Yarrowia lipolytica: one gene and its partner. The protein of the gene in region 1 purifies or fractionates together with the protein of each later gene. This does not show direct contact. Links are inferred from orthologs where the notes say so. Each region holds a gene or a part of one and is shown on either strand. Other genes may lie near its edges.

Evidence for each region. Proteins that work in one complex are often made in the same cells at the same time.
Region 2: the proteins of YALI1_A13046g (region 1) and YALI1_D06638g purify together in Saccharomyces cerevisiae (affinity purification with mass spectrometry; 6 studies listed by BioGRID, with this or other methods). This does not show direct contact. The link is inferred for Yarrowia lipolytica from reciprocal best matches to the Saccharomyces cerevisiae genes TRZ1 and NUC1.

The regions. Positions count from the first base shown.
Region 1 is NC_090770.1:1,302,937-1,307,561, reverse strand, and holds YALI1_A13046g (uncharacterized protein), read right to left. Parts: upstream 2,972-4,625; coding exon 524-2,971; downstream 1-523. Other genes in the region: YALI1_A13095g (uncharacterized protein), read left to right, coding at 1-135; YALI1_A13041g (uncharacterized protein), read left to right, coding at 3,420-3,905; YALI1_A13019g (uncharacterized protein), read right to left, coding at 4,513-4,625. UniProt on the Saccharomyces cerevisiae protein: Zinc phosphodiesterase, which displays some tRNA 3'-processing endonuclease activity. Probably involved in tRNA maturation, by removing a 3'-trailer from precursor tRNA.
Region 2 is NC_090773.1:662,151-665,372, reverse strand, and holds YALI1_D06638g (uncharacterized protein), read right to left. Parts: upstream 1,553-3,222; coding exon 605-1,552; downstream 1-604. Other genes in the region: YALI1_D06665g (uncharacterized protein), read left to right, coding at 1-219. UniProt on the Saccharomyces cerevisiae protein: This enzyme has both RNase and DNase activity.

The DNA of each region.
Region 1 (4,625 bases):
CGACCCGACGGGCCCAAAGACAACAGTCCTGAAGAACGTCCTGAAGAACGTCCTGAAGCAGACTTAGTCTGGGGCAACCGTAGCACCCTCTACCAGTCTTACTTTGGCAAAACTACGGATAAACCCAACAGGTAAAGACTCCTGGCGGGACTCTTAAACAGTGTCATGGCACTATTCTCGCAACGAGAAAGACGAGTTCCGAAACGGAGACGCTGTGGTATTCTACAGGAACTCTCAGTCGGAGAAACCATTTGACTAAGCTTGTGGTAGAAATGCTTTTTTTTTTTTTTTTTTTTTTTTTTTTTTTTTTGTTTTTCTCGTGTCGTCTTGAACTCGACTGTCGCAAAAGAACGCGAGACACAGAACTGATGCTATGCAATCCCAAGATTACCACTTAATCCTCAACACATTCAGCATCCACTTGAAATAACAAAGTGGCTGTTTCCGTTTCGCCTGTATGTAAAAATATCTTTTCACTCGATATGACCGTCTAATTCTCTCTATGTTCATTTTTCCTCCACTTTTACCATGCAGGAACATCGTCGGCCTCGCCCCGCTCTCCATCCTCCAGAGCCTTGGCAATGGCGTCAAAATGGTCGGCCTGTTCGGCAATCTCGCCCAGTCTTATCCGCATCATATCGAACGCAATGGCCACTGGCACCTTTTGTAGATCCTTCGTCTCCAGAGTCAACGCCGAAAGCTCAGGCAACTTGGGATACCGCTGTGAAAAGTGTGTGAGAACGACATGCTTGGCTTCCATGTCTTTGCACACCCCCAGAGCCTCCGAAAAGGTACAATGTTTCTTAAGGATAGCCTCCTCGGGAAGATCGTTGTTCAAAGTAGCCTCGTGAATGACCAGGTCGCAGTCTCGGGCCATCTCCGAAAAGGCCTCGATGGGTCTCGTGTCACCAGAGTATGCAACGTTGAATGTCTCGCTGTCATCGAGCTGAAAGCCGAACTCGACACAGAAAGACTGCTCGCAGTGGTGAGCCCAGCACGTCTTAATCGAGGTCAGACCAGGAACCTCGGGCAAGGCAGACATCTTTCTGTGCTTTTCCAAGAATGCCCAGCAACCATAGTACCTGATTCGAGCTTGCATTTCCGGGGTGAAATTAGCACACTCCTCAAGGAACCGCTTGTAAGACTGGGGACCAACCACAGACAGAGTCTCGTCTGGGTTGGCCTTGAGCCACTGTTCGATGAAGGTGGGAGTGCCTAGATGATGGTCGGCGTGAAGATGAGAAATGTAGATCATCTTGATCTCCCGCATAATCTGGAGACAAGCTTCGGGCGAGTACATCCGGGTCAGAGTGCCGTAGGTGCCCTCTCCACAGTCCATAACAACTCCAGTGAAAGAGCCGTCAGCTCGGGGAACTCGCATGATCAGTCCAGCCACGTTTCGGTACTTAGAAGGACACGCCGATCCAGTTCCCAGTGTCAGCAGCTCTGCCTTGCACTTGAGAGTACCATCATCGTTTCGAAGCGGTCTGTCGACTGAAGTCTCCTCCGGAGTGTATCCCAACCCTTCATACTCACGTAGACCACTGTTGACGACCCGAGAAGTGTTTGTGGTGTTTTCAATAGACACAGCGTCACCCTGGGTCAAGAGGCGCATGTTGAATCGATTCTGGATGGTCTCATCTGCCAAGAAATCTGCCTTGGGGTCGCTCAGAGTTCGGTAGTCCTTACCATGCAAGGGGAACTGATCTCCCACAATGTTTCGAAGTTTGTAGCACAAACTGGCGGAACCCCGGAAGGTCAGTGCGTGGGGGTCGAGCCAGGGAGCAGAAATGATGTGCATCACGTTGCTGCCTAACGACTCCATCCACTCAAAGTACTTTTCGGGGTCGCTGGCGAAATAGGACTCCATTTCGGGACCGAAAAAGTGGTAGACTGTGGAAACGAAGGGCTCGAGCACATTTGAGACATCGGGAGTCTTGACTTCCTCGTTCATCTCGCCCGAATCGCGCTTCTGACCGGCTCCATACACCGGCTGGGCGTCTCGAGTATTGTATTTACGGGTCCACTCAGGGCAGTTGATGACACCATCAACGTAGCGAGCATCGGGAATGTCGAGAAACAGAATTCGGCCGTAGTTGGAGGGTTCACCAATACACTGCTCGGGCTTGATCACCGATCCGTCCTCCAAAGTCACGTTGTTGCCTGCGATTAACTGCTTGAAGTCGGATCTGGGAACGTTAAGAGCATTTGCAGCCTCGACGTTGAACTTGCCCTTCTTTTGGTGCAACTGAGCAATGTAACAGGTGGATCTCTCGTCCAAATCGACCGCGGGGAGCGCCGTATCCGACTGCTTCTGCAACTCCTTGCGGTTGTATCCGTAGTCTCCGCCTCGCGAGCTGAACATGGTCTTGAGTACCCGGTTGACGTTAGTCCAGGGCGTGTCCCTTCGCAGCGGTTGGAGGTTTCGGGGAGCGAGCTTCTCTCCGTTCTGGTGCTGCTCCTCCTGTTGCAGCCGTGACTCGGTGGGGGTGATGAGAACGCCGCCAATGTTGATCTCGTCGGTCACGTGGCCCTTGGTCATTCTGTCGGTTCGGATCGCCATGGTCTTGTGAAACACAAAGTGTCTCCAGGTGGCGCAGAACCAGTTGACGTTGTGACCACACGATCTCAGGTCCAGATCAGTCTTTCCCATGCCCACCAGAGTCAGCAGGAAGCCGGCAAGACCGGACAAGGTGGACCAGGTGACGGGCCCTGTGAGGTAGATGCCGGACATTTTGTTGACTCGTGGCTTCTGTTCCAGAATCGCTCTCTGGGTTCCTTCTGTGACATGTCCAAACAGAAACTTCTCTCCCTTCATTGTCTGTAGCGTGACTCCCGGCCCCGCCGTATCGGACGAGTAGCTCATGAAGTTGTACAGAGACTGGGTCGACGACAGGTCGGGTAGCACGCCCTTGGCCTTCTTCTCGGCCTTCTTCTTCTGCTTTTGTTCAGCCTGTCTTTGAGCCTTCATGTTGCGACGTTCCAGCTTCGCGCGCGTTAGGCGGGTGGATGTTCTGTATAGAAAAGCAAACGGTCTTGCGGCCGTGCTAGCAGGTTTGACGTTGAGCTTCCAAATTTTGACGGACTTGGAAGAAACCACAACCAGCCGTATGTTTTTGAAAAGTGGTGAGTTCGTGATCTCTCGATAGGGTTCTGAAAAATCTTAGCGGTGGCGCTGGGGCAAAGAAGAAGTGTGGAATTGCGACGGAAAAATATTTCGGACGATATGGGGGTTTATTGGGCCAGCTGAGAGACGTCACGGGTGCTTTTATGGCGAGAATGGCGAGTTTTAAAAAATCGCACAACCGCGGATCGAACCCAACACGCCCCTTTTCACCTACATGAAACTTTCTGCATGATAAATATTTTTGTACATGAGCAGGAAAATTATTTTCTGCTAGCTACTCAACCCGACACAAATGCCTAACAACAACAATATCCACAAGCCCAAGGTGCTGGGCAAGAAGCCCCGGCAGCACAACAAGAACAAGGGCAACTCGTACGTGCGACGAGACGGCAAGGGTGTCGAGCTCAAGTCTAAGATGGTGACCAAGAAGCAGGCCAAGAAGAACTCGAGAAACGCCGACTACATTGTCAGCCGACTGGGCGAGATTGACGTCGACGCCATCCAGGCGGTGGGCAGCCGAAAGCGAGCCAACATCATTGGCAAGATTGCCGAGTCCGTGGACGTGATGACCAACGCTGACGAGGACGAGGACGAGATGGTGGACGACGCCGAGACCAAGACCCAGCTCAAGCGACGTATGGCCCGAGAAGAGCTCGACCGAATCACCTCGACACAGAATCCCATCAAGATGGCTCTTACTGAAGACCCCGATGCCACAGAGATTGCTTTTCAGAGCGGCTCCAAGGGCACCACTCTGGGCGCTCCTCTGGCGGTTTGAGCTGACCGGACGTCTACACACAAAAATTACACAAGGGATATTAGAAAATGGTATTTATGCATTACGTATTGTAGTGGAGGTAAGGAGTAGATCCATTCCAGGAGATAAGTCGGTTCCGAAGAGATGTTTGTATTGTGAACAGTGTGTGGACTGAAACACACAGAGTTGTGATAAAACTACGACATGGCCAATGCGAGTGGGCTAAATGAGTCGACGGGGACTCGGCGTCCTTTCGACTACAGTACAACTTGTGTCAGTTACAAGTACTACTGTAGTATCGAGATACTCTACCCATTCAGCATGTACAGTTCTTGTAGAACAGTCCAACTTTTCCGGTTCTAACATATATAACACTCTAGAACTTTCATAGAGACAGGAGATCGATGTTGCGCCGGAGACGGTTGAGTCGGACCTCGTCAACTCGTCTAATCGTCAACTCGTCTAATCGTCACCTTGTCTAATCGTCATCTCGTCAACCGTCATATCGTCAAGGGTCCAACCTGACCTCATCAACCCATCCACCTCGTTAATATCATATAATTACATCTCTACAGTTAAATAAGTCCAACTTGTTCCTCGCGTGAATCATATCATTATATCTATACAGTTAATTCTTGTCCGACTTCTTCTTCTTGTACTTCTTGATGTTGACAGCCCCCGGGACCTTGCTGCCATGCAACTCGACAATCTTGGACTCGTCCGTGTACCGGGCTTTGCCAA
Region 2 (3,222 bases), on another chromosome or scaffold:
CTGACTTGCTATCCTTATGGAGATGACGATCCCTTCATCATCAAGGAAACTCCCCACCTGTACTTCTGCGGCAACCAGGACGAGTTCCAGACCAGTGTTGTCAAGCATGACGGAGTGTCAGTGCGTCTGGTGGCAGTTCCGCGGTTTGATGAGACGGGAGAGGTGGTACTGGTGAACATGCGAACATTGAAGGCAGAGGTGCTGAGGATTGTCGCCTAGCTGGAGAGCGGAGCTCAACGTAGCGAGGGTAGGCAGCAGCACTACGAAGTAGGGGGTTTCGATGAGCGCTTCTAACTCTCGCTCTCAACAGATACATGCCATGTTCTCAGCAATTGTCGCTGGGACTCTTGACAAACTACCTCTTGTAGTGGGGACTACAAGTAGTTAGGAACTAATATATTGCACTTGCATGGCTTTATGATCGTAGCACAAGTGAGAGGTGGTTGGACAGTGTAGCGTATGAAGCCATCTTCTACGAGCTCTAGGGCACATTTCCCCCGTTATCACACAAGTAATAGTTCCAGTTCTTCCGAAACATCGAGTATGACTCAACACAGCGACCATGATGATATATGTTCTACACTCTTTGACTATATACAGTAGGCTACTTTTCAGGGGCGGGAAGAGCCAGCAACCCGTTAGGGGCAGGGAGGGCCTTGGTAAAGTCTCGTACGACAATGGAGCAGTCGACTTCTCGACACAGGTCCTTCTGCTTGACGGTGATCTTGTTGAGGAACTCGACTCCGGTGGACCGCTCAATGGCATCCACGGGGGTCTGAAACGAGGTAAGCTTGGTCTCGTTGGGAATCACGTCGTTAGGGAGCACAAAGGCAGCAACAGCCACGTCACTGGTTCCGGGATTCTTGACGGGCTTCTCGGCCAGCACAATCTTGAAAAAGTGTGTGGGGACAGCCACGTTGGGGGGGTTACCAATCACCTCGTACGACACTCGGTACTTGCCATCGGGGTACTTCTTAGGCAGGTACAGCGGTCCGGTCACAATGTACACGCTGCCGTACTGCTTGGTCAGCCGTCGGCAAAAGTCCTCCAGGTGGGCCCAGTAGTCTCTGTTGAATCCGTCTCCGACCTGGGGGGCAATGTTGGTCAGGAAGAAGGTCTCGTCCATGGCCTTCTGGGAGAACTTTGCGTCAGCTGCGGGTGCCTGGTGGCCTCGATCGTAGCCCGATCGGAAGTAGTCGGCCAGCCGAGCCCGGAACTTGAGCGGCACCTCCTGATCTTCCTTGAAGTTGGAGAACTTTCGATCCGGGGCTCCCTCGCCCTTGTTGGACTTGATGGAGTCCGGGGTGATGTGTTCCACGACCCACATGGGGTTACGTCGTTCTCGGTCGTAGCACGACACAAACTCCTGTCGGTAGGCAATGTCGTGGGCTGCTCCGGGGAAGCCGTACTTGAAGAACTCCCCTGGCTTGACTGGAACCGCCGGGGTTGAGCCGTTGAACACGTCGAGAGACGCTCTGGGCGAGTCCGCCCACAGATGGGCCGCCAGACCGGTGCCGGCAATAGCTGCGATGGAAGCTGCGATTTTGGACATGTCGAAAGAGAGTACTGTACCGTGCTGAGGCTGTAGTCTGAGATCAAGGGTTTATGTACAGCCAAAGTTTGATCGTAGAGTTTGGGCGCGTCTTGAGCATCTGATAGGCGTTAATTTAAAGAGGATCAGAGACGGGGGACCTGGGGTCTAGTGATGGATACAAGAATGAATGGTGATGTGACCACCTGGTACAGTCCGAGTGCCAGCTCTCATTAGGTGGACAAGCCAATTGGAAGACAGAGATACAACGCGTGGATCTGACCAGTGGTGATGAGAGTGAGAGTTTTACAGTATGACGAAACCAGTTAGTGCAATACGTGACTGCCTGCAAGTTCATTTTGACCTCCACAATAATTTGTACGTGCAATCTCACTTTGACGAGATTCTGCTGGTTCTTGACCTCTCTTGTAAGTCGTCTAAAGTTGACTTCTCGGTACTTGTACCTGCTATATGAGTAAGCTGTTATACTGTAGATGTGCACGAATCAGGGGTGCAGCGTTCAAGCACCGTGAGACGTGAAGTGCAAGGCAAAGGGGACCAGACCTGTGACTTGACGAAGAACAATTGCAATTTACGCATGTTAACCGCTATTTATTTCTAATTCTAGTCACTGGTTGCTTCCTGGTTGTCTTTTTTTCGATTCTCGTCAAACTCAAGTACAAGCCCAACTAATTTTCACCCCTTCCCCAGTCATATACTTGTACATGCAGAAAAAAATAATACTGTACTTGTACTTGTATAATTCTGTAAATCAGAATTCACAGTTCGCATCTAATAAAACCCCTGAATGATGCACTCTACAGCAAAAATACCTGGTACTGTATTTTCAATAGCCATAAATGACCATTGGTACTTGTACGGTCATAGCATCATACTCTACTCATAAGCGGAGCTCGTATCTAACGAAATACTTTCTGCCCAGTGACCAAACTTAATACGAGTAGGAGTGCTTGGGACCCCGTACAAGTTCTGTAATTTCCCTCTCAAAAACACGAAAAGTGAGCAAATAATCCTCACACTACTCAGCCTACCAGTCCCATGTCACTAATAACACAGCAACTACCCCCTGTAATCCTATATCTAACATACAAGAACCACACACCGCGTTCAACACACTCGGACCCTTCAACATCCACCGAAAGATCATCTGAACCGGACAACATGACCAACCTGGTATTCGTACTGTGGCCCGATGTAACAAATAAAAAACACGCCACAACGAGACATTAAGAGAATAACAAAACAATCAACTCTTTCCTCCGGTCATTCGACAAGAGTTTCTAGCTGAAATCCCCTCCAATTTCAACTAGAAACTCAAATACCAATAAGGTCAAAAAAATGGCAATTAATTCGTCTCGCGCGGGAATTAGTGGTGTAAATCGACAGGCTAGATTCATGCACACTTTCAACCTTATTTAAAATTCTATTCAACATATACTCTGTTAAAAAAGTCAAATGACGTGTGCAATGCAGTCCTGCATGCTTACAGTCGGGAACGGAGCTGAGCTTAATTTGTGCCTGCCACTCATTCAAAATTGCAGACACGCAAAACAGAGAGACCTGTCGCAATATTTTACCACACTCATCGTAAATTCATATTTTAAAAAATTGTTAATGCCATCGTACATAGTTCTATCTTTCTACTGTACTGTTAGTGACCAACTGCCACT